Mus musculus: one gene and its partners. The protein of the gene in region 1 interacts with the protein of each later gene in a biochemical or structural test. Links are inferred from orthologs where the notes say so. Each region holds a gene or a part of one and is shown in the gene's direction. Other genes may lie near its edges.

The links.
Region 2: of the proteins of Btrc (region 1) and Nfkb2, one has a biochemical effect on the other in vitro, tested with the Homo sapiens proteins (2 studies listed by BioGRID, with this or other methods). The link is inferred for Mus musculus from reciprocal best matches to the Homo sapiens genes BTRC and NFKB2.
Region 3: the proteins of Btrc (region 1) and Cdc25b form a complex in vitro, tested with the Homo sapiens proteins (2 studies listed by BioGRID, with this or other methods). The link is inferred for Mus musculus from reciprocal best matches to the Homo sapiens genes BTRC and CDC25B.
Region 4: of the proteins of Btrc (region 1) and Wee1, one has a biochemical effect on the other in vitro, tested with the Homo sapiens proteins (2 studies listed by BioGRID, with this or other methods). The link is inferred for Mus musculus from reciprocal best matches to the Homo sapiens genes BTRC and WEE1.
Region 5: the proteins of Btrc (region 1) and Ube2r2 form a complex in vitro, tested with the Homo sapiens proteins (2 studies listed by BioGRID). The link is inferred for Mus musculus from reciprocal best matches to the Homo sapiens genes BTRC and UBE2R2.
Region 6: the proteins of Btrc (region 1) and Kdr form a complex in vitro, tested with the Homo sapiens proteins (2 studies listed by BioGRID, with this or other methods). The link is inferred for Mus musculus from reciprocal best matches to the Homo sapiens genes BTRC and KDR.
Region 7: of the proteins of Btrc (region 1) and Deptor, one has a biochemical effect on the other in vitro, tested with the Homo sapiens proteins (3 studies listed by BioGRID, with this or other methods). The link is inferred for Mus musculus from reciprocal best matches to the Homo sapiens genes BTRC and DEPTOR.

The regions. Positions count from the first base shown.
Region 1 is NC_000085.6:45,513,734-45,517,233, forward strand, and holds part of Btrc (F-box/WD repeat-containing protein 1A), read left to right. Parts: intron 1-274; coding exon 275-393; intron 394-2,124; coding exon 2,125-2,374; intron 2,375-3,281; coding exon 3,282-3,400; intron 3,401-3,500. UniProt on the Homo sapiens protein: Substrate recognition component of a SCF (SKP1-CUL1-F-box protein) E3 ubiquitin-protein ligase complex which mediates the ubiquitination and subsequent proteasomal degradation of target proteins. Recognizes and binds to phosphorylated target proteins.
Region 2 is NC_000085.6:46,304,231-46,308,494, forward strand, and holds the start of Nfkb2 (nuclear factor NF-kappa-B p100 subunit), read left to right. Parts: upstream 1-1,464; 5' UTR 1,465-1,773; coding exon 1,774-1,794; intron 1,795-2,052; coding exon 2,053-2,134; intron 2,135-2,255; coding exon 2,256-2,296; intron 2,297-2,540; coding exon 2,541-2,639; intron 2,640-2,711; coding exon 2,712-2,863; intron 2,864-3,133; coding exon 3,134-3,240; intron 3,241-3,329; coding exon 3,330-3,488; intron 3,489-3,725; coding exon 3,726-3,830; intron 3,831-3,942; coding exon 3,943-4,028; intron 4,029-4,114; coding exon 4,115-4,253; intron 4,254-4,264. UniProt on the Homo sapiens protein: NF-kappa-B is a pleiotropic transcription factor present in almost all cell types and is the endpoint of a series of signal transduction events that are initiated by a vast array of stimuli related to many biological processes such as inflammation, immunity, differentiation, cell growth, tumorigenesis and apoptosis.
Region 3 is NC_000068.7:131,193,448-131,196,947, forward strand, and holds part of Cdc25b (M-phase inducer phosphatase 2), read left to right. Parts: intron 1-147; coding exon 148-240; intron 241-667; coding exon 668-730; intron 731-891; coding exon 892-990; intron 991-1,178; coding exon 1,179-1,312; intron 1,313-3,500. UniProt on the Homo sapiens protein: Tyrosine protein phosphatase which functions as a dosage-dependent inducer of mitotic progression. Directly dephosphorylates CDK1 and stimulates its kinase activity.
Region 4 is NC_000073.6:110,141,429-110,143,799, forward strand, and holds the end of Wee1 (wee1-like protein kinase), read left to right. Parts: intron 1-527; coding exon 528-684; 3' UTR 685-1,871; downstream 1,872-2,371. UniProt on the Homo sapiens protein: Acts as a negative regulator of entry into mitosis (G2 to M transition) by protecting the nucleus from cytoplasmically activated cyclin B1-complexed CDK1 before the onset of mitosis by mediating phosphorylation of CDK1 on 'Tyr-15'.
Region 5 is NC_000070.6:41,188,021-41,190,945, forward strand, and holds part of Ube2r2 (ubiquitin-conjugating enzyme E2 R2), read left to right. Parts: intron 1-1,131; coding exon 1,132-1,266; intron 1,267-2,584; coding exon 2,585-2,804; 3' UTR 2,805-2,925. UniProt on the Homo sapiens protein: E2 ubiquitin-conjugating enzyme that accepts ubiquitin from an E1 ubiquitin-activating protein, and catalyzes its covalent attachment to other proteins by an E3 ubiquitin-protein ligase complex.
Region 6 is NC_000071.6:75,954,456-75,957,955, reverse strand, and holds part of Kdr (vascular endothelial growth factor receptor 2 isoform 1 precursor), read left to right. Parts: exon of another isoform or gene 1-591; intron 592-845; coding exon 846-992; intron 993-1,670; coding exon 1,671-1,802; intron 1,803-3,500. UniProt on the Homo sapiens protein: Tyrosine-protein kinase that acts as a cell-surface receptor for VEGFA, VEGFC and VEGFD. Plays an essential role in the regulation of angiogenesis, vascular development, vascular permeability, and embryonic hematopoiesis.
Region 7 is NC_000081.6:55,110,829-55,115,116, forward strand, and holds the start of Deptor (DEP domain-containing mTOR-interacting protein), read left to right. Parts: upstream 1-1,488; 5' UTR 1,489-1,669; coding exon 1,670-1,791; intron 1,792-2,511; exon of another isoform or gene 2,512-2,754; intron 2,755-4,288. UniProt on the Homo sapiens protein: Negative regulator of the mTORC1 and mTORC2 complexes: inhibits the protein kinase activity of MTOR, thereby inactivating both complexes. DEPTOR inhibits mTORC1 and mTORC2 to induce autophagy.

The DNA.
Region 1 (3,500 bases):
GACTCCCTTCTAGAAGTGTGCTGATGGGAGCTGTTGTTATTTGGGCCTTCGTAATTATAGGCTACTCTTCCACCTTGATGAAAAAGGATAAAGTTAGCATTAGAACTGAAGTCAACACATCCAGGAGCTTAGCTCTACCTGTAGGAAAGAATGCAGTCCTCGCCCTCTCTGGGCTTTGATGTTGGGGCAGGGGGGGTCACACATGTACAGGACAACAAGTCTCCACAGCACCCTATTATGACAGTGATCAAAAGGGTCTCGTTTGCCCTCCTAGATCTGGGATAAAAGCACACTGGAATGCAAGCGGATTCTCACGGGCCACACGGGCTCCGTCCTGTGTCTGCAGTACGATGAGAGGGTGATCATCACAGGCTCCTCAGACTCCACCGTCAGGTAGGGACTCTCTGCTGCTCCTTTGAACGCTAAGCCTCCACTTTGTGTCACGGTGATTCTTTTCTGAAACCAAAGAATAAGCTGTTAGCTTCTGGTCAGTTACTTGTCGCTCTGGAACCAACACTTGATGTGGGACCCATTGGGTAGAATCTACTTTGGCACATTTAAGAAGCTACACACAGATTTTAATTTGGAGGTACACCTGTAGAGGAACTTCCCTCTCTTTATGGGAAGCCTTACATTCCTTATGAAGCTAGCTCAGGGGAATGGCAGGAAGGGACTGAAGCCTGTCTTTCAGGTGATTGTAACTGCAGTGCAGGTATGCAGGCGCTCTTTCAAGTGGATACAGGTGAGCAAGACTCGCTCCTTGCCAGCCCTCCCCTGCCATCCCCACAGTGTTTAATTGCAAGCTTTACTCAAGGAGGGAGCCCTCAATTTCCAGAGGCTCTGGTGATTTGATGACACAGCCATTATGCTGCTGGAGTCCAGTGTAGCTTGAGTTCAGGGTACCAGCAGCACTGCTGGAAACCTGCTAGGAATTTCACCTTAAGCTAAAGGATTTAGCCAAAGTAATACATCAAAAGTAACGTTTAAAAAAACAAGCGTAGACTAAACGGCAGTTGTCTGCATTGTCAGTTCTCTGCGAACAGCAAAGCCTGTTCCTCTCACTTGCAGGCACAGCAGAGCCCACCCTGGCAGGTGTTGGCAGTCGACTCTTCTCCTGGCTTGGAGGCCACAGGAGCTGCAGCACTGTAGAGGCTTAGGTCGTTTATAGAATAGGGGAGATGATGTCTGTTGTTGTCTTGGCAGTTTAGGGATTGAACCCAAATCGTCTAAATAGCCTTCTACCTCTTAGCAACACTACAGCACAAAAAAATAACTTTCCAAAAGGAGGGTAAGCTGCAAAGGAGAAACAAAGTGCTTTTAAACATAAAGTCAATATGCAAATAGAGAGTAATGTAGGTAATTCTATCTCGGCAGAGTTCTCCAGCTCGCCAAGGGTCTCCACTGCCATGAAGCATGGGCTTAGGGTGAGAAGGAAGGCTCATCTTGACCAACTTGCCCCTGAAAAGCACAAAACTGGAGCCTTTAACTTAGAGTCTGTGTAGGAAGAAAAGCTAATGTTTAGGACAGTGAAAGTCAAGTCCGCATTGCTAAGTCTGTGTGAAACATCTTGGCCCAGAGTGCAGTGACTGGGACAGATACTACTGCTGTTCTTCATGAGATTCCTAGCTTATATGTGTCTTTTTTATTGAATGTCAGTGTTAAAATAATAACCCAAAAATTTGGGCCAAATTATAAGGTGACAGTGACTACCTATGTCCTCCTCTCTGGGCACTATACAAGAAGCACCCACTAAACCTGCCTTTCCTGTCTGTACACATGAACCATGGTGTTTCCTCATGGTTCCTGTGTACCCTGCCTGGGGCATGCAGAACAAGAGCACTTGCCATGAAAGCAGGAGGTGAGCCAAGCATGATGGTGCACACCCTTAGTCCCAGCACTGGAAGGCAGGGGCAGGCGGATCTCTGTGAATTCAAGGACATCCTGGTCTACAGAGTGAGTTCCAGGACAGCCAGGACTACACAGAAACCCCCGTCTCCAAAAGAAAAAGAAAGCAGGGGTGACATGCATTGATTGATTGATTGATTGATTGATTATCCCATTGGTGGTCAAGAATAGGCCGTGCGTTGTACTAAGTACCATCTGATTCCTGGGTGTCCTTTTCAGAGTGTGGGATGTAAATGCAGGTGAGATGCTAAACACATTGATTCACCACTGTGAAGCCGTTCTGCACCTGCGCTTCAATAATGGCATGATGGTGACCTGTTCCAAAGACCGTTCCATCGCTGTGTGGGATATGGCTTCCCCAACTGACATCACCCTCAGGAGGGTGCTGGTGGGACACCGAGCTGCGGTCAATGTTGTAGACTTTGATGACAAGTACATCGTTTCTGCCTCTGGAGATAGAACCATAAAGGTAACAGGTCACTTTTCAGTAAGTTCACAAGCTGCAGTAGGAGTTTGTGTAAAAGCGTGATTGAGGGCAACTGTATACACAAGCCTTGTTGTAGGATACTGTAATAATTAAATTCAATTTTTATTTCTATAAACAATGGTTATGGGCTGGAGGTGTAGCTTAATGACGGCACTTACCTGGTGTGCCCAAGAGCCAGATTGGAAAGATAACAGTGCCACTGATGATGGCAGTGATGGCATGCATGGCGAAAGCCAAGCCAAAGTTAAGTTCAAGGACACATCCGTACTGGAGCTGGGGAAACGGCCAGTGTGAACAGGCCTTGCCGCATATGCGTGAGAACCGCCATGGGAAAGCCAGATGTGTCACCATGAGGTAGTGATCTCATTGCTCAGAAGGGAGCGATGCCAAACCCTGTGGTCGCTGGCCAGTCGTTCTAGCCAGATAGTAAGTTTTGTATTCAAAGTCCCTGTCTAGGAGAATGAGGTAGAGGGGTTGTCAAGGACGCCAAGGTCCTGAGTTGAGTTGTTAGCATGACGATAGTGGCCCAAACCATCTGGACCTCTAGCTCCAGAGGCCCCAATTTCCGGCCTCTGGATTCTGGCTCACATGTGGTACACACAAACTCAAGCAGTTACATATACACATAAAAAATAAGGTGGAAGGAACTAAGGCGGACACTAAGTATGCAGACTCAGGAAAGGAGGCTAATTCATAGAGCAAATCATTGGGCAGTCTCATGTGACAGCAGCCGGCTTCCCATTCGTCCTGTGTCACTCTGGCTCTTGCTTTCCATTGCTGTTTCTTTGAGGCATTGGCCTCCTCTGATGAGTCTCTTCTATCGCCCGCTTCCTGTTTTTACTAGTAGAAGTACCCGATCTACTGCTCAGCTGTCGCTTTTGTGTCTCAGGTGTGGAACACAAGTACCTGTGAATTCGTAAGGACCCTAAATGGGCACAAGCGTGGCATCGCCTGTTTGCAGTACAGAGACAGGCTGGTGGTGAGCGGCTCCTCTGACAACACCATCAGGTGAGCAGCTGCCTTCCCAGAGCACATCCCCACCACCTCCTCCACCCTTTGTGCACAGAGCTCATGGTTCTTACCTGTCTCCTTTCCGTAGCTAGGACAG
Region 2 (4,264 bases), about 790 kb from region 1:
CGGAAACTAAGACAGTTGACCCCAGAGTTTCCTTGCGGCTCCAGAAAGGCCGCTAGATGGCGATCTGGAGCTGACCGCAAGATCTGACTCCTTCCTCTTCCCCTTCCCAGCTAGGAGGTCCCTCTCTGGGAGGGTTACTGGAGTGTTGGGACTGACCCGGTTTCCTGTGTCTCAGAGATAGCCAACCTCTGGGCACAGCAAGAGCCAAGTGGCCCACTGGACTCCGTAACGGTCCCGGGCAAGCCTGGAAGAGTGCAGAGATCTGAGCCGCGCCCTGCGCTGGGTCCGTCGTCCCGCCTCGCTGGTCCCTAGCAGAACTGGAGCTGGGTGACACCCCGCGGCCAGTCCTGGGCGAGCCTTCCCCGAAAGGGGCGCGCCTGCGTTGCTCCGGGTTGGCTACAAGAGTCCTGGAGTTAAACTTTCAACCAATAAAAAAGGGCATGGGGAGTGACGCACGGGATCGTCACGGGAATTCCCCCCCTCGGGGGGCCGAAAGGGGCTTTCCCGGCTGGAGCCCTTTGGCTGGAGAGGAGCAACGACCGGTCCGGGGAAGGGCTCGGAAAGAAGTCGGAACCAGAGCCGCCACCACGGTGAGTGGCCGGGTTCAGATCCCTGAGTGTCTAGGGAATGGAGAGGGAGGGAAGGAGGACTTTAGATGACAGGCTGGGGCTGGACGCCACCTCCAGTGAGCGCGCACAGGAACAGGACACTTTGCTACACATCAGCGACACGTCTGCCTGCCCTTAGCTTGCCTGTGCACAGCCGGCCGGTGTGAGCCCCGCACACGCACTCACAGCGCACCCGTGCACCGGCGCCTGCGCACGGACATCCAGACGTGCACGGACGTGTGCCCACACTGGGCAGTACAAGGACTCACCTGTGTGGATGAACGTTCACTTGCACGTGCCATGATGCCACCACTCACCCGGCACACAAGACATTAGGGCTGAAACGCATATTCCTGCAACGGACACATGCGCGTTACACTGGCTTTGGGATTGGAGTCGCCAGGGAGGGCGGGATGCTCCCGTTTGACCGGCCACCGGGAGCAGGTGCAGCGGGAGAATCCGGGAAGCTAAGACGGAATCGCTAGAGACCGTGGAGGGGGAAACTCCTCCCCCCCACACACACCCTGAGGCCCGAATCATATTCTCTGGTCAGAGCCCCGGAGGCCCCACTGGAAGAACCCCCGCCTACGGGCCATTCGGAAAAGGGGCCTCCGACGGCAGGAATGTCCCCACAAAAGCCCCTGGGTGAATCAGCCGTGTCCTCCACGCTGGCTGAAAATCCCAAGTTTGCTCCAGGCTGCGGAGAGGGGGCGAGGCGGCTAGGCCCCGACTGAGCCCCAGGGGCTACAGAGGCTGCCCGGGAACCAGGAACCGCCTGGGCCTCCCGCCCCTCCCGCTGCGGGGGCGTGGCCCCGGCGTCATTTCCAGGCCCGCCCCCTCCGGCTCCGCCTCCCCCTGGTATTTTCGGGACTTTCCTAAGCAGCACTAACTTTCTGCCCCTTTCCCGGGCCAGCCCCGCTCCGGATCTCGACCTCCACCGGATCTTACCCGCCACGCCCGGACGGGCGGCTGGAGGAGATCGGACCCTCCCCCAGATCTGAGCCCCCCTCCCCTACCCATCCCTCTCCCCCTGCCCACCCCTATCCTGATATCTTTCACTCTTCCCCCTCCCACGCCTCTCTTCACCTTAGGCGGGCGTCCGAAACTCTGGAAAGCTGAACCGGGGCCCGAAGCCGCAAGACACAGCAGGGCCTAGCCCAGAGATATGGACAATTGCTACGATCCAGTGAGTCACACTGCCTGACCCTGAGGGCGGCGGGTGCCCTCTGTGTCTGCTTGTCAATTGGACGCTCCTCCACTCCCCTACTTCTGCACTGTCTTCAAATTGTCTTAGTCTGCCAGTCTGTGCTGTCTGCAAACCCTGCCCAGAAATGAGCTTCCTCATAGCTTGAGGAGGAGTCCAGGGAGTGACTGCAGAGGGCTTGGGAGGGGGTGGTTGGGGGGACCCTTGATTCAGCTGCCACCTTCTCTGTCTATAACGCAGGGCCTGGATGGCATCCCCGAATATGATGATTTTGAATTCAGCCCCTCCATCGTGGAGCCTAAGGATCCAGCCCCTGAGACAGGTCAGTAAGTCTTTGGCCTCGCAGTATCTCAGAACCTAGAGGAGAGTGAGCATGTCCCCTGGAGGCCCCACTGAGGGATGGTCTCAGAGATCCTGGCTCAGCAAGGCCCCTCTATTTCCAGCTGATGGCCCCTATCTGGTGATTGTGGAACAGCCCAAACAGGTGAGTGAGTGACAGAGAGTGGTGGCTTCACCTTTGGGGAAAAGGTGGGGCGGGGGGGGGGAGGGTAGTTATACCTACTGATCAGATTAAATAGCTTGCTGCTGATATGTTGGGGGCTTATGAGAAGGAGGTACACTTTTGGTCACTGTGGTCAGTGATGGCTAGTGGTTGCCTTGTGGGGATGACGGGGGGGGGGGGGGGGTTGCCTCTCCTGATCACAATGTCTCTGCTATGGAACCTTCAGCGAGGCTTCAGATTTCGATATGGCTGTGAAGGCCCCTCCCATGGAGGTTTGCCAGGTGCCTCCAGTGAGAAGGGCCGGAAGACCTATCCTACTGTCAAGGTGAGCTCAGATGACACCGGAGGGTAGGGATGGTGTATGGGGCAACTACTGACTATCCTTTGCCATTCTCAGATCTGTAACTATGAGGGACCGGCCAAGATTGAGGTGGACCTGGTGACACACAGTGACCCACCTCGTGCGCATGCCCACAGTCTGGTGGGCAAGCAGTGTTCAGAGTTGGGAGTGTGCGCTGTGTCTGTAGGACCCAAGGACATGACTGCTCAGTAGGTGGCCCTGGCCCCTGGCCCCCAGTGGGATGCTCATTGCCTGCCAGCCTTAGGTCTCATCTCAGGCCACCTGTGTGACTAGCACACAAAGTGGGAAGATTTACTTTGGCCCAGGAACCTCAGAGCTCAACTATAAAGAGCAGTTTCCTTGGAGAACAGAGCCAGGATGAGCCTGACCATGGGGGGTGGAGCGTGGGGGTGGAGGTGCCTCAGGAGGAAAGAGCCTCATGGTCAAAGAGGACAAAGCCTCCTCCTTGTCCTCTCCAGATTTAATAATCTGGGTGTCCTGCATGTAACCAAGAAGAACATGATGGAGATTATGATCCAGAAACTTCAGAGGCAGCGTCTCCGCTCCAAGCCTCAGGGCCTTACAGGTATGGTAACAAAAGGTGTTCCGAGAGGTGTTCCTAGAGGAGCCGGGAAGAGCAGCCCAGAGCTCACACCACCCACATTGTCCATCCAGAGGCTGAGCGGCGGGAGCTAGAGCAGGAGGCCAAGGAGCTGAAGAAAGTCATGGATCTGAGCATTGTACGGCTGCGCTTCTCAGCTTTCCTTCGAGCTAGCGATGGCTCCTTCTCCTTGCCCCTGAAGCCTGTGATCTCCCAGCCCATCCATGACAGCAGTGAGTATTCTGCAGGGGGCCAAGCATGCATTCCCAAAAGAGCGCTTGAGATACCTTCCAGCTATGGGTCTGAACCTGGCCCTGCCACGTGTGGGGTGGTGAGTGCTCGGTAGTCAGAACATCTGAGTGTTGCTTCTGAGTGGTAAATGTGAATACTGCATTTCCTGAAGTTTGATAATGACCCCACCGAGCCTCCGATCCCATCAATGTGTCCCTAACCCATCCCCCACCTTATAGAGTCTCCAGGGGCCTCGAACCTGAAGATCTCCCGAATGGACAAGACAGCGGGTTCCGTGCGCGGTGGAGACGAAGTTTATTTGCTCTGTGATAAGGTGCAAAAAGGTGAGGCAGAAGCCCTCTGGGAGCTGGAAACGCTGGCTGTAAGGGTAATTTCGGGATCCATGCAGCGGGGCTGCAGGCTCTCCCTGTGGCTAAGCCGCACTTTTCTCTGTAGACGACATTGAGGTTCGGTTCTATGAGGATGATGAGAATGGATGGCAAGCCTTTGGGGACTTCTCTCCCACAGACGTTCATAAACAGGTACTGAGGGACTAGGGCCTGTCCTGGAGACAGAACTACGAAGAAACCTTACTGACACCATGTTGCTCTCCCATCCTCCACCCCAGTATGCCATTGTGTTCCGGACACCGCCCTATCACAAGATGAAGATCGAGAGGCCTGTAACGGTGTTCCTGCAGCTGAAACGCAAGCGTGGGGGCGATGTCTCGGACTCCAAACAGTTCACATATTACCCTCTGGTGGAAGGTGAGTCGGGC
Region 3 (3,500 bases), on another chromosome or scaffold:
AAGATGCTCTGGGTGTACCCTCTTAGCTAGAGGTGTAGCAGTGGGTAGTGGGCAGGAGGTAGTTTAAGTGGCAGAGAAAGAAGGTCTCAACCAAATAGCACTGAGAGGCAGTCTCTTCCCTGACCCTCCATCTGCCATGCTTTCCAGAAGGCCCGTGTCTTTCGCTCAAAGTCGCTGTGTCATGAGATTGAGAACATCCTGGATAGTGACCACCGTGGACTGATCGGAGATTACTCTAAGGTAGCGTTCTAGGACCGCAGGAGGCTTCTGTTTCATCTGCTCTGGACCCCTAGTGCAGGAGCTATCTGTCCCAGAGGTCCCCTCTTCCCTCTTGTATCTTTCCATTCTTGTTCCTATGCAGACTCTTCCCTCTGGCTTCCTTTCTGATGCCACCTCAAATCTGTCCAGGCAAAACATTTCCAAATGAATCTCCGGTATGCAGTCTCCTGCCTCAGCCCTGGCTTTCAAACCCAAGAGCAGGAAGCAAGAAAGTCCAGGGCTTTTCCTTCCTCTTTCACCTGCAGAAGGTTCTTTCCCTGGGTATGGGCCCCCAGAGGTTCCACTCAGAGCTGAAGCTGGAGGTCAAAGCAGGTGCTGCCTCTGTCCTTCCAACCTTCGCCCCTCGCCATGTTTCCTTTCCCTGACTCTGACTCATGCTCCCCTTCAGGCCTTCCTCCTGCAGACCGTGGATGGCAAACACCAAGACCTTAAGTACATCTCACCAGAAACTGTAAGCAGGGTTGAGCCACTCTCCAGGTGCATTGGGGACCACCTTTTCTGGCTCTTGTCTTCCCTTGGGGTTGGGCTGCATGCACAGACCATCAGAAAAGAGAGGGAAAACCTTGGCTACCAGCCTCACCTGCTGGCACCAACTCTAATGGCCTCCTACAGATGGTGGCCCTGTTAACAGGCAAGTTCAGCAACATCGTGGAGAAATTTGTCATTGTGGACTGCAGATACCCCTATGAGTATGAAGGCGGGCATATCAAGGTGAGACAGATGCTGGTAAGGCCAGACCCTCCATTCAGACTCCTTGCCAAGAAGATGAATAGTAACCTTCCATGGTGAATTTCCCATGGGGAGGATTCTGCCCAGCAAGAGGTGGGGTTACTTACCTGGGAACCGAACAAGAAGGGGCGTGGTGCAGGCTACGGCTTGACCCCCAGATCCTCTGACAGAATGCTGTGAACCTGCCCCTGGAACGGGATGCTGAGACCTTTCTGCTGCAGCGTCCCATCATGCCTTGTAGCCTGGACAAGAGAATCATCCTCATTTTCCACTGTGAATTCTCGTCTGAGCGTGGACCACGAATGTGAGTCCTAGCTCTGTCCCGCCCTTGTGGTCAGTGGTCAGCCGGCGCCCACCCTAGGCTATCTTTGCCTGGTGCTGAGTGCTAGAGCATCTTGTTGCATATGATAGTTTGGAGCTGAGCTTAACTCTCCTGCTGTAGACAACACATCTTACAATGGTCTTCTTTCTGTTCACATCATCAGACCATCTTTTAGCCATGGCTGCACCTCCACAAAATTGGTGCCCAGTCTAGTAGCATCCTTAAAATCTGAGGACACTGTTTAAGCTACACTCTCGGTGACACTCAAGCACTTGGTATCCTGTTCCCGTGCTGGCGACCACTGGGGTCCATTGCCCTCCTTCAGCAGTCTTTCCTCTGTCTCTGCATTCATGATCTTTTCTGGTTATTCCTCTGCCTCCTGGTCCAGGGTGGCCACCAGCTCCGCCTGGCAGCTGTTAGCATCTGTCTCAGTGGACCGGAATCTCTTTCCCATTCCCTGTACAGGGCCCTCATCCCTCCTGCACTCCCCTCTGCTCGGGGGTTCCAGCTTTCTCATCTGGCTCTTGCTGGGCAATGGACCACTTTTCCACCCTTCTGTTCCTCCCTTCCTGTTCTCCCTTGAGTCCTTACCACATCTGATCCAGGAGCCTGGAGTATGTGTGGTTTTTTTCCTATGTTGCTGTACTAGACTGAACTAGATCTTTCACATATATTAGGTAACCCTCTACCAGTAAGGGTTATCCCCAGTCCCTCTCACTACATTTTATTATTTGTTAGTTTGTTTTTTATTATGGTATGCATGTGGAAGCCAGAGGATGACTTTAAAGAATCAATTCTCTTCTGCCACGTTTACAGGAGTTTCGGGGATTGAGCCCAGGTTGCCAGGGCTATTCAGCAAGTGCCTTTACCTGCTGACCCATCTCACTGCTCCCTACCCCACTTTTAAAGAAGTTTATTTTGACCCAGGCTGTGGTGGTATTGATGCACACCTTTAATCTCAACACTTGGGAGGCAGATTTCTGTGTTCAAGGCCAGCCTGGTCTACAGAGCAAATTTCAGGGCTACACAGAGAAACCCTATCTTGAAAAAAAAAAAGTCTATATGAAAACACTTTGCCTATATGTATGTGTGTACCCCATATGCATGCTTGGTGCCTACAGACATCAGAAGAATGTATTGGATCTCCTAGAGCTGGTGTCGTATATGATTGTGAGCTACCATATTGGTGCTGGGAACTGACCCTAGATTCTTTGCAACAGCCACAAGTGTTCTTAACTACTGATACTTCTCTTCAGCCCTTAGCCCTTAAAAAACGTGTGTGTGTGTGTGTCCGCGCGTGTGTGTGTGTGTGTGTGTGTGTGTGTGTGTGTGTGTGTGTGTGTGTGTGTGTAGCCAGAGGAGGGCTTACACATTCTGCTGTATACTCTCCACCTAATTCCCTTGAGACAGGGATAGAGATTCTCACTTAATTTGGACTTGTGGCTGTCAGCCTAACTCTCAACAATCCTCCTGGTTTTACCCCCTCCCCCCAGTGCTGGGGTTACAGGCTTTTTATCATTCTGGGGATTTGAACTCAGGTCCTCTTGTCTACTCAGCAGGTGCTCTTATCCACTGAGCCACCTCCCACTCTTACCTTTTATTTTGAGACAGGGCTTCCTAAAATCCAAGCTGGCCTTAAGCTCTTTTTATAGCTTAGGCAGGTCTTGAACCTATAATCCCTCTGCCTCAGAATTCTTTTTTTTTTTTTTTTCTTTCTTCGAGACAGGCTTTCTCTGTATAGCCCTGGCTGTCCTGGAACTCACTCTGTAGACCAGGCTGGCCTCGAACTGAGAAATCCGCCTGCCTCTGCCTCCCAAATGCTGGGATTAAAGGCGTGCGCCACCACGCCCAGCCTGCCTCAGAATTCTACGTAGCTAGGCTTACAGGCTTGTACCACCAGACCAGGCTCTTGAGTGGACCTTGACTGTGTCAAGGACCTTGACTCTCTTGCTTCCTCTTTCCTGGGACGTGTCATTGAGTGCTGTAACAGGTTATGAAACAGCTTTCCAGAAACAGTGGCCACTCCTGGTTTACCTCTGCCTTCACCAGAGTGTCCTCTACCTAGTAGCCAGGCTTGTAGTAGGTGCATTCCTGTGCTGAGGAGTCTGTGTACTTGGGAGGCTCTTAAAGCAGTGTGTACAGGGCATGGCCTCTTCCTGACATGTGGCCT
Region 4 (2,371 bases), on another chromosome or scaffold:
AACTCAGGTTGTCAGGCTTGGTGGCAGGTGTTATCGCTGATGAATCTTTTCACCAGCTCCAGGTGTGTCATATACCATTATAATGCATCAAGAGTTATCGCCCACAATGGGTTGGCCCCTCCCACTCCAATCACTGATTGGGAAACAGGTTTGCACCTAGCAGTGGTGGCCCATGCCTTTAATCCCAGCACTTGGGAGGCGCAGGCAGGTGGATTTCTGAGTTCGAGGCCAGCCTGGTCTACAGAGTGAGTTCCAGGACAGCCAGGGCTCCACAGAGAAACCCTGTCTCGAGGAACAAAAAAATAAATAAATAAATAAATAAATAGAAACAGGTTTGCCTGCAGCCTGACCTTGTAGAGGCATTTTCTCAATTGAGGCTCCTAGTTTGTGATGACTCTATAGTTTGTTTCAAATTGACATAAAACTAGCCAGCACAATGTTTGAGTTTGTATTTGGCTTCTTAGACTCTTTCCATAGAATTAATGCAGTAGGTAAATTAAAGTCTTGCTTCCTTCTTATTTTTGTAGAGAACTCAAGAAAGCCCAAATGGCAGCCAAAGTTGCAGCTGAGGAACGGGCACTCTTCACAGATCGGATGGCCACTAGATCCACCACCCAGAGTAATAGAACTTCTCGACTTATTGGAAAGAAAATGAACCGCTCTGTCAGCCTTACTATATACTGAACTGCTCACATTCCCCAGCCCTTCCCCACTCAAAGGAAAAAACTGTGACAAGAGGAAGCTAGGTTGGAATCACTGCTAGAGCCCACTTCGTGATTACTTGCCCATTGGTATCAGTAGTTTTCCTAAAACGTAACGCCTTCTGTGACTTTGAGAATTACAGTTGAGAGCTGTATTCTGACTTGGCTCTGTCAGGCTTTTGTCTCATCTCCCGTCTGTTTCATGTAGGATGTGGGTCACTGTTGGATGTTCCAGCCCCCTTTGCGGGGTGCGCCACTGTGGTGGTGTGCTGCTTCTCATTCACTGTTGCAGTGTGGTGAAAGGTGTCTTTCCTGGTTGTGACCTCTAGAAAGGACTCAAGGGCTTTACTGCGAACATCCTCTCCCTTCAAAAAGGGAAATGCTCAGAGACTCAGTACTCCTCTGCCTCCAATGTACCTGTGTCAGTCTTGCGTTTCTTTTTTCTATGTGAATTACACTTGTATATCCAACTGGGAGCACTTTAGGCATCGTGTGCGCCATGGGATGGTCATTCTGTGGAGGCCTTGCCTTGTGAATTTGCTGCTATTTTAGTTTCCTCTTGCTGTAAAACTAGCATTAAACAATCATTGTTGTTAATAGGCTTTCTTTCAGAACAATTATGTGAAATATATAGCTGCTCTTCATGAAAAGCAGCTTCGCATCTTTTTCTTTGGACTTTGAAGCTACTGCATTGAAAAAGTGCACCTACCCCTCCCTGTTTGAATGCTGTATTAATGTAGTATAATTATTACTGGTTTTGTAAATTTTTCTTATAATGTCCCCTGTCTTTAAAACATGTTTCCTTCCTCCTGTCAAGTCTTGTACTTGGTTGTATGGTTAGCCTATTTTTAAATGTTTTGCCCAGTTTCTCTTCAATATTTGTGTATATAAACTGATCTTGGTAATACTGTACATAGCTGTTTAAAAATACCAGAATGACTTCTGACTATTCCAAGTTTTCCACAAAATACATTTTACCTGTGAATAGCCATTTGACTAACAATATTTGGCTAGTAGATGCTGCCCTCCAAAAGGAGGGAAATGTCTCACTTGTTTTCCTATTAACTTTGGTCTGAAACACATTTGCACTTGTCTGTTTGACTTGTGTCTTATTAACATTGTCTGGTGTATTAAAAGTCATTCCGTGCTTACCTTAATTGTCTAAATCTTCACGGTGCCTGTTTTCTACTTTATACTCCTCACTGCTCATTACAGAATGTGGATAAATAGATATAACTTGCTAAGAGCAGAGTGCACTTCCTCGTTGTTGCTGGCTCTTTGAAACAGGCTCTCACCTTATAGTCCAGGGTGGCCTGAAACTTAGCTGCCTCCCTTGCCACCCTAGTGCTAGACTTAGAACTCCAGTACCTATCGTGATGGAACTAAAGATGTGCTTTCGTCCATGCTAGGAAAGTTTTGTTATTACCAATATAAATAATACATCTAAGCATATCACATGTTAATACACGTGACACTGGAAATGAGGTACAATTTTAAAGGTTCAGCTGACGTGGATAAAATATGCAACTCCTAGCTTTCTAAACTAGTCTGAACCACAGAAAAGCTTATAGTGTTAAGAGACTGGCTTGTGTGTACATTTACACGCAAGACAACCCAGGGCCTTGCCCTTGTCAAGCACTCCTCTAAACATCCAACCCAACATACTTTTA
Region 5 (2,925 bases), on another chromosome or scaffold:
GTTTCATGAGGTCCCATTTATTGTTTTTTCCCCCCCTTTGGTTTTATAAAACAGGGTTTCTCTGTGTAGCCCTGGCTGACCTGGAACTCACTCTGTAGACCAGGCTGGACTCGAACTCAGAGATCTGCCTGCCTCTGCTGGGATTAAAGGCATGTGCCACCACGCCCAGCTGAGGTCCCATTTATTGTTGATTTCAGTGCCTGCTCTATTGATGTTCTGTTCAGGATGTTGTCTCCCGAGCCAATGTGTATCTGACTTTATGTTAGGTCTTTAATCCGCTTAGACTTGAGTTTTGTACTATGTGATAGGTGTGGGTCTCTTCGCATTCTTGTACACGTAGACACGCAGTTAGAGCAGCACCATTTGATCTCTGAGTGTGTCTTTGTTGAATGGGTATTTTTTGTTTCTTGGTTTCTGTTATTTGTGGCCTGTGTTGAGCTGCGAGGGGTGGGGGTGTAGTGTCTCCACCTGAGTTCAGGGCTCTGATCCAGCAAAGAGGCTCTGCCTGACTTGGCCTAAGACACAGTGAAAAGGAAAGGAGGAGAGGGATTGGGGAGAGTCAGTGTGATGACACAGTGGTCATGCATGGGTGGCTTACCTGGAGTTCTGGCAGCTGAAGTGGCTTCTGGTCCTAAAGAATAATTAAAAAAAAAAAAAATGACATTTACGGGGCAGGAGAGATGGCTTAGAGGTTAAGAGCACTGACTGCTCTACCTGAGGTCTTGAGTTCAAATCCCAGCAACCACATGGTGGCTCACAACCATCTTCTGGTATGTCTGAGGAGAGCAACAGTGCACTCACATCAATCAATCAATCCTTTTTTTTAAAGACATGTACTGTGTGTATATTTATGCGCCGTGTCCTGTAAGTGGTATAAAGTATAAAGCACTTTGTGGGGAGATCTCCTCCTGTCCTCTTCATCTCCGTGATCAAACTCAGGTCATCCGCACCTTTACCTGCTGGGACATCTCACTGGCCCTAAAACCAAAGTTGTATAATCCATTTTCCATAATAGGTCATATTTGTATTCATATTTGTATGAGAAATATTTTAAGGGAGACTGATGTCTTAAAGCCTGTGCTGTTGGACAGTGGGGACTGACTTTAACAGTGAACCTTCTCTCCTTCTCAGGACTATCCTGTTAAGTGTGATCTCACTGCTTAATGAGCCCAACACCTTTTCTCCAGCCAATGTGGATGCTTCAGTCATGTTCAGGAAATGGAGGGACAGCAAAGGAAAAGACAAGGAATATGCTGAGATCATTAGGTAAGGCAGACCATGTACACTCTGGAACTAAAGGATTCAAGTCAGACTTCAATAATCGGTTTACTTTAAAACAGTTTCTCAATTATATTTACGGAGTAACCTAATGAATTTAGCTATTGCAAGAGAACCCCAACAGAAACAAGACACAGTAAAAAATTCACTGGACAGGATAGCAGACCTTCTCTTCTGGGTTTGTTTTGGTTGTCGTGTGTGTGTGTGTGTGTGTGTGTGTGTGTGTGTGTGTGTGTGTGTGTGTGTGTGTGTGGTAGTGGGGGGGGGTGCAGTTTAAACCAGGCTAGCCTTGAACACAGAGATCGAGCCTCTGCCTCCCAGGTCCTAGGATTACAGAGCACATCCCTGTGCCCTGCTTGGTTGTAGTGGTCAGCCGCTGAGCTGAATGAATCAGATGAAGGAGTAAAGGAATAGTTAATGTAAACTATGGAGACTTGTGTTATAGAAGCTACAAGAACATCACTGTGTAAGGCCTGGCAACAAACTGAAGCTTCAGGAAAGTGGTGTTCTTATGTTTTCAGTTTCTCCAATCTCAATGGCTTTGGGTTTTGTACTTTGGCAAGAAAGTTTTACACTTACACAGGCGACATTTTGTTGCAGAGCTGTTACCTGCCAAGCCGGCACAGGATAATGGAAAAGCCTGAGGAAGACAGGGCACATTGTGATGGGAGCCAGGCAGTAGTAGGTGTGAGTAGGATTGCAGGCAGGGTGTGGCTCTGCTGCAAGCTCCTGCCTGGCATTCTGCCCCTACCACCTCAAAAACAATGACATTTGGTGCTCTGGGGGAACCTAGCAGATGACAGGCACTAAAAAGATGCTGGGCCCATAGCTCAGCTGCACAGTGTGTGCTTCCCAGCACCCCTGCAAACCTGAACCTGCACTTAGAAAACAGACCTCACATATAAAACCTCTGTAATCCTTCAACCCTTAGCAAGAGATGGGAGGCAAAAGGCAGAACTTTCAAATGCTTTTGAGCTAGTTAACCTGATTTCTGCAGCAGCGAACAAGAGAGATCTTACCTCAAACAAGGCTGAAGTATTAGGACAAAGCCCCTCCATGACAGGAAGGTATGTGATGAGAGCCGTGGTGTGATGTGGGATATCTGTTCTGTATGGAGTGTGAACCGTGAGTCACAGGGAATCTGATGATGCTCAGTTATAAGACTGTCTTCAAAACAGCGCCTTAACCCAAGTGTGATGGCTTTCCTAATAATCCCAGCACTGAGGAAACGAAGGTGGAGCAGTGTGGGTAGTGTGAGACCCTCTCAAAACAGACCTATAAACCTTTCCTGTGTTGTCCTGTGCAGGAAACAGGTCTCAGCCACTAAAGCTGAGGCGGAGAAGGATGGAGTGAAGGTCCCCACAACCCTGGCAGAATACTGCATCAAAACTAAAGTGCCTTCCAATGACAACAGCTCAGATTTGCTTTATGACGACTTGTATGACGACGACATTGATGATGAAGATGAAGAGGAAGAAGATGCCGACTGTTATGATGATGATGATTCTGGAAATGAGGAGTCGTGACATGTTCCTTCAGTGCCCCTGTACTGCCCTGACGTCTCAGGCCAAAGGGAGGGAGCAAGTGGGGATCTACAGTGGCCACTCAGCAAAAACTTACTCCCGGGGCGGGGAAGCAAACAGCCCC
Region 6 (3,500 bases), on another chromosome or scaffold:
GTAGGCCAGAGCCAAGTACACTTGTTTAAACTCTGATATATATAGTACATGGTGGAAATGACCACGTTCTGCTAAGTGTGGAAGAGATTCTCTCAACATGATTCTTCCTGATGCTCATCAATGTTTCTACTGCAGTTGGGTGATTTTCAGGAGCACGGTAAAGCTCAGGCTTTGCTGTCCATGTAGACAAATGGCCTTGGCTTTTCGTAGGATATTATTGTTTGGTTTGTGTTTGAGTGGAAACCACGAAGGAGTTTTAGGCCCATCAGACTCTACTATTATCTCAACCATTTACTTAGTTATAGGGTAAGGTGCTTAACCTGGACTGCAATCACATCACATAAAAATAAGGCTAATGGCGTGGCTCTCATTATATGTGACTGACAGTAAATATTAGAAATGATATAGTTATCCAAAGTTATGTAAGTCACTCCTTACATAATTGTCCTGAAGTTTTGTCTTTCCTAAGGGAAAACATGAATTTTACTCTTAGAGGCTACAACTTTCCAGAGAAGAAGTTACTCTTAGGGAAAGCCTTGTGGAATTGGAGGGAAATAAATCCTCTAACCTGAATAAAACCATCCCCAAAGATTCCCAAGTACTGTGTGATTTGCATGTGGGGTGGCTAATGTGAATATTTAAAAGCCTCTGTGTCTGTCTGAAGTGTCCTTTCTTATTTTGTTTGACTTCACTCATCCAACAGGGTTGCTGTTGCCAAGTTCGGTGTAGTTTGAGCTTGGTTTATTAATGGGCTCCTGCTTATGAGGTTTAGAACCGTTTAATAGTCACAGGACATGAAAGCTGTTTGAGCCGTGGGCTTTACAGTTTTCTTTTTATGTGCACAGAGCGCATGGCACCCATGATCACCGGAAATCTGGAGAATCAGACAACAACCATTGGCGAGACCATTGAAGTGACTTGCCCAGCATCTGGAAATCCTACCCCACACATTACATGGTTCAAAGACAACGAGACCCTGGTAGAAGATTCAGGTGAGTGAAACTTGTCTATTTCTCTGGTTGTAGAATTTTTCTGATGGATGCTAGGTAAGACTACCATCACTTATTGGCTTGTTTCAAAGTAGACAGAAGGCAGTATTTAGGGGACTCGAAGAAATGACTCAGTGAAATGCTTGCCGCACTAGCACAAGCACTGCATTCTCATCTCTAGAAGCCAGGTAGAAAGCTAGACTCAGCATCCTTCTGGAATCTCAGTACTAAGGGGCAGGGTGGGGGGATGGGAAGGCAAATGCCTCCTTGGAGTTCACTTGCCAGTCTAGCTGAGTCATCAAGCTACAGATTCAGAGAGAGAGAGAGAGAGAGAGAGAGAGAGAGAGAGAGAGAGAGAGCCTGTCGCCAAAGAATAAGGCAGAAAGCTATAAAGCAGCCACCTCACATTGACCTCTGGCCTCTATACACTTGCATGCCCTCCCGTGGAACACACAAATGTGGGTACAGGGTCTGGCTCATTTCAGAGTCACAAGCAGCTTGTTTGGAGTCCGGTTGAGTTTGCATGTAGATCCCATGGGAGAGCAGTCAGTAGTCAACCTTGTGCACCTCTTTAGAGTTAGGTAATGGTCTGAGATAAAGGGCAGCAACTAGTTTTTATTTTTAATGCCATGGACAAAGCATCCCATCAGAAATAAAGCAAGAATTTCCTTCTTCCTTTAGGCATTGTACTGAGAGATGGGAACCGGAACCTGACTATCCGCAGGGTGAGGAAGGAGGATGGAGGCCTCTACACCTGCCAGGCCTGCAATGTCCTTGGCTGTGCAAGAGCGGAGACGCTCTTCATAATAGAAGGTCAGTGTGATGTCATAGGCTCATCAGATGGTCTCTGGCAATTCGATCGCATTGGACATAGCTGCACATACTTTGAGTAGGATGCCTTGTGGGTGACTCATGGTGACACTGGTGGTTGTTAAGCCTCGTCTCTGAGATGTTCATTTAAGTGTCACACAAGTGTACATAGCCTGAAGGCAATTTTACACAATATTTTTCAGTGTACCTACCTTTTTTGACTGGGATCTGTCACATGAAATTAGGGGTCGGTGCTCAGAAAGTTTTAGATCTTATTCGTCTGTGAGGTCTGAGTTACGGTTTCTCCACGTGTTCTTTGTAATCTATCTTCAATGGCTCTGCGTCCTTTTAACCAGAAAGCAAAATTAGCACGCGCTTCAGTCTGTACCATATTTTCTGTCCACGTAGTCATCACTGTGAGAAAACTATTTGCCATGAGTAAGAAATGCCTTTCTGTTCCCGATTCTCACTTTGTTTGAATGGTTAACTCACAGAAATGACACTTCAATATATACCTGGGGAAAAATAGATTTGGTGTTGGGCATTGCTATTCAACTAGTGACAAGGATCAAAGGTTCAGGATTTTCCCCAGAGCAGAGACAAGATTCACTCATAAACAATAGATGATTAATAGGTGATTGCTTTTGTGATATGGACAATCCGGGGTTATAATTGAAATATGAAAGGAAACTTCGTTTCCCCTGGCTGTGCGTGTGCGAGAGAGTGTGTGTGTGTATGAGTGTGTTTTGTGTGTGTGTGTGTGTATGGGTGTGTTATGTGTGTGTGTGTGTATGATCGATATGAACCCTAACCTTTGTTTTTCAGTCAGTATTCTGTGTCAGAACATTTCATCTTCAGAAGAGCGTTCCTGGATCTTGTTTTTGTAATACACTAAGGGAACAATGTGACTCTATTGTGTGAGTGAAGGAGTGGTGTGCAAGGGGGTGACTCAGGGTGGTTAGAGAGGTAGGTTTGGCAGAATTCTAACATCTCCAAGTCTAAATGTTGGCCCCTTTCATCTGCCCAACTCACCATGTCCAGTGCTGCATCTAGAGCCACTAGCATGCTCTCAAATCTCTAAGATGGTTAGGATTCTATAAACTGCACCTGCAACTGAAGATGCCAAAGTGCATGGTAGTTCTGTCACTACCAAAGTGGTTCATGGCTTGGTGCCAAATCCAGGGAGGATGCACCCGCCAGTTCTCTCTGGTACTCTGCCTCCACCCACTAGCCATCTGCATTAGGTTATCATGCCTATGTGGGCACAGTGGCATAGATACTATGGAGACAGGAAAGGGGTGGGGGGGAGCGAGAGAGAGAGAGAGAGAGAGAGAGAGAGAGAGAGAGAGAGAGAGAGAGAGAGAGAGAGGAAGAGAGGAAGAGAGGAAGAGAGGAAGAGAGGAAGAGAGAGGAGAGGGTAGACATTGAATGCTTCTACAGAAGTTCAGCTGTCAGATGTTAATATGAGACTATTCACACATAAACTGATTGAGACCATTGAATCTTTGACCTTTCTTCTGTCTCTTACATGAGTAGGCTTTTAAGCCTTTACATACAGGTAGAACCATTACTTCTCTGGAAACATCAGAGAAACCAAATCCACTTACAGATGCACTCAGAGCTCACTCCCAACTGGTAACTCTTATTTTGCCAACTAATTAATTGCTTGTCTTCTGGCTTCTGGCTTCAAGCCTCCCAGCT
Region 7 (4,288 bases), on another chromosome or scaffold:
AAATAGAACAGAGCATGGTGTTCAGGTCTTATAATTCCAGCACTTTGGAGACTGAGGCAGGGGGATCAAGGGTTTGATGCTATCCTGGGCTACACAGCAAGATTCTACCCCAAACAATAGTTTTGTTTACCAGAGAATGGACCTTGCAAAGTACTAAATGCTCTACTTTTGTGACCCTAGCAGGTTCAGAGCCTAGTCTTCAGGAATGTCAAGTAACATTCACAGCAGCATATGTTTTGTTATATACTGACACTTCCTGAAGATTGTGACAGTTATCGTAGACACAAGTACCTGTATCTTCCAAAAGGCAAATCCAAAGATACTTCAACAAATGTGTATGGCCGCGGAAGCCATGACTTCCCAGTCAAGCTATGTTGAAGTTTACAAACTAAAAACGAAGAGACACAGTGATGACTTTTAATGAACATGGTAGACCAGCTCGGCCATTCAAATATGTTTAACCTCCTCCTCTTTCTCCTCCTCCTCCTCACCCCCCCCTCCTCCTCTTCTTCTTTTAAAGATTTATTTATTTTATATGTGTGAGTACACTGTCGATGTGGCTGTCTTCAGACACACCAGAAGAGGGTATCAAATCCCATTACAGATGGTTGTGAGCCACCATGTGGTTACTGGGATTTGAACTCAGGACACCTGGAAGAGGAGTGAGTCAGTGCTCTTAACAGCTGAGCCATCTCTCCAGCCCCTAACCTGCTCTTCTAACGGTTTATTGTATTGCTTGCTTTTGTCAGTTAAGCTGTTTTTGGTTTTAGTTTGTTTTATGAGACAAGGTATCTTCTTATCCCAGTCTGGTCCAAACTCATGATCATCTTCTGAAGTTCTGGGAACATAAGTGTGTCGCCATGCCTGCCAAGATAGAGTTGTTTTAAAAACATAACCTAAAACTGAGAATGCTCTTGCCTGCTTGCCTGAGACAAGTTACCTCACCCCTCCGAGTTGCCTTCCCGACGTAAAAGGAATGATATGGGAAACACAAGAGGGTAGCAATTTATCTAAAACATCTTTAATGCAGCAGATGTGGACAAGTGATAGCTACAACTAGTGTAAAAAAGGGATTAAGAGCATTTAGGTAGGAAACCAAAGTAATGAAGCCAGGTTCTTAGTCTTTTTGAACCGCAGGGCAGGATCCTTTATTGACTCCACCATAGGGTAGTAGTAGATGGTCTATAGGGAAAGGGATCAGGTAGCCTGAAATGCCCTTCAGCAATATCCTCAACTGCTCCGTTTTTGAGTAATCTGTTCTCATTTTTATTCTCTACAACTCTAGTATGGAAAATGGAGAAAAACTGCAACATTCCCCAGCATGAGTTTGGGAGTGAAAAAGGAAATATAAAAGAGGAGCGAAAGGCTCAACCTCCTGCAAAAACTCAGGGCTCAGAGCTCCGCCCCGATGTTTTTATTTTTCTCCTTGTCCCCGCCCCCCGACCATGAGAGAGCCCAGGCCACGCCCCCAAGCCGAAGTTCCAGACCCGGACTCGCCGACTTCTCCTGCTTACCCGCAGGGATTCCCTCACCAGCCAATCGCGTCTGAGCCACGGCACCGCCCGGAACAAAGATGGCCGGGGCGGCCTCGGGGAGGGCACATTGATCCAAACGCCAGGCGCACCCGCCGGGACAGCAAAGGCAGAGTGGCAACCGCGCGGTCAGGAACATGGAAGAGGGCAGCAGCGGCGGCAGTGGTAGCAGCGACAGCAACGCCGGCGGGAGCGGCGGGGTGCAGCAGAGAGAGCTGGAACGCATGGCTGAAGTCCTAGTTACGGGAGAGCAGCTCCGGTAAGGAAAGGCACTCAGTAGATGGGCTCTCGATTGCCCTATGCCCGCCGCGGTCCGGAGCGCACACGCCATCTGGCTCGTGGCAGGCGTGTCGCGCGGGGCGTAGGGACAGTTGCGAGCGAGTGGGATGGTTGGGTCGCGCTGCACGGGTGCCTGGCTACTGCAGCCCGGAGGCTAGCAGCTTCAGCCAGGCTGCGGGGACCGATGCCGGGAACGCGCGGTGCAGGCTGCGCCCTAGCTGGACTGCTGCAGCCATGCGTCCCTCCGACTCGCCACCACTCAGTGCGTGCAAACCCCCTTGCCAGGTGTTCCTGATGACTGTCTAGTCTGCTCGCTCCAAAAAGAAGAGATTTCGGATGGGACCCCAGTCCCTGCGCTTCCAGATAGAAGGCTCCAGCACCCATGAGTGCCTTCGGTTCAGCTTTCCTTTTTTTCTAGCAAGACATGCTTCCCTCATTGGAGCTTCAGGTTACTTTTATGTAAAACCTGGAGCATATCTGCGAGTGCTTTGACGGGTTGCTTCTCTTCCAAAACCTTTCCCAGTTCTTTACCTATCCCTTGATTGGCACACTTGGTTTCAGGTGTCACTTGGGTCCGCAAGGGGGCGTGAAAGTACCTTGTTCAGTGCCCACGTTTGGGACCCCGGAGTTGGCCCACCGCCGCGCACTTTTCCTAGAATTACCACTTTCCCATCTCACAGATCCAGGAACAAGCACTTACCCCCAGGGCTCTTTTGACATTCCCATCGCTTCCTGTTCCTTTTTCTTGGGCATATGCTTAAGACTTGTGCTTCCGCAGCTGCCTTGATATTGGGGGTTGTAAATCAGATTGCCACTCCAAATGAATCCGGCTCTGCCAGAACTTGAACCGCGAGCCCAGTCCCACCTGAAAGAAGTGTGCTAGCTCCCTCTAGCTCTTGGCTTGATTTTTCCGGCTTATTTCGGTTTCTAGATGGCTGTTTCCAGACTGGAAGGAGAGTGTTACAGAGGTTCCTGGAGGTCTGGTAAAGCACTTGGCTTTGCAGTGTTCAGTTTGAGGAAGTAGCTGTTGGCAGTCAGGACGGTGGAGTCCAGTGTGACAGAAGGAAAATCACGCATTTCAGTTCCTCGTTAAATCTCAACTGTGTGGCCAAAATTGAAGGGAATTAAAAACCTGTTTTCCTTCATCAAGAGTATTTTGTAATGGAGATGACGTAAAGTTTTTCTGATTTAATTGGACTTTCTTAATAATTTATTGTTTTGTTCTTTACTATATTGCTGTTTGAAAAGGCTTTGCTTGGGTGAGATTCCTTGCTTTTTGTTTCTTTTACAAACATCATTAAGACCCCCAGTCACTTTCTCCTTCTCGATAACTGCTCCTGAAATGCACATTCTTCAGCCTCCCCTGAGCGCTCGCAGGCTTTCCCACCACAAATCTGCAGACCTGGGACTCGGGCTTGGTTTTCTATTCCTCCGCCATGTGGCCAAGTGTTACCGTGACTCTGTTTTGAGGAAGGCTTTGAACCTGACAGAATCCTGGCCTTGCCCTTGACTTGGCTAGTGTAGAGCCTGGGACAAAGATGAGTAACACTAACTTTTACCTGGTAGTGTTGTTATGAGGATTATGTGGCGTTAGTGCAGGCACCGGTGGGTGCTGCTACGCACTATATGATCACTAGCCAGGGTAGCCATGTTTGGACAAATTAATTTACTCGTCTGAGCTATTTCCTCATCTGTAAAGTGGTCATGAAGATGAGAGTATTTCATGGGGTGCTTCTGAGATTCTGACTTCTGGGCTTCCTGTGTTAGTTAGCAATCCCCAAGGGCCTGCAGGAGTTAATTGGTGTCCCTGCTCTCTCTGCACCACCACTTTTGACACAGCCCCTCTGGTAAGATGTGTCCAGAGGGCCTGTGTGTTTGTGAAGGACGGAGGATGTCGGTCCAGGCTACTCAGGTTTTCCTTCCCTCTGCCACCACCACTTGTGGCTTCCAGCTTCTGCCATGTGTTCCTTCTGCGACTTTGGAACAATTGACTTGCTCTTTTGCCTCAGTTTCCTTTTTATAGAAGGGAGAATTAAAAGACAATTGGCTTACCATTTTGGGAGGGCTGAGATGTCACAACCAAATTTGAATTTGAGGGTATGCACCTGCAACCCCAGCACTTGGGAGGTGGGGACTGGAGAACTACAAGTTTGTGGTTAGCCTGCCCTACGTAGTAAGTACTAGGCTAGCAAAGCCCTGCCTTTAAAAACAAACAAACAAACAAACAAACAACTCAGAGCAAATATTAACCATTTAAATTTGATTTGAATTTCACTTTTTGTTTCAATTATTTTAAAGCAAACTTTAAAAGCTTACTGTAGGCGGGGAGAGGCAGGAGATATGTGTGCCAATGTAAAAGGTCAAAGAGCACATTTCAGGGGCTGGTTCTCTCCCTCCCAGTTGGCATAAGCCCCAGGATCAAATTCAAGGTTGCCAGGAGTTCACAACAAGCAGCTGTAACTACTGAGCCACCTCTC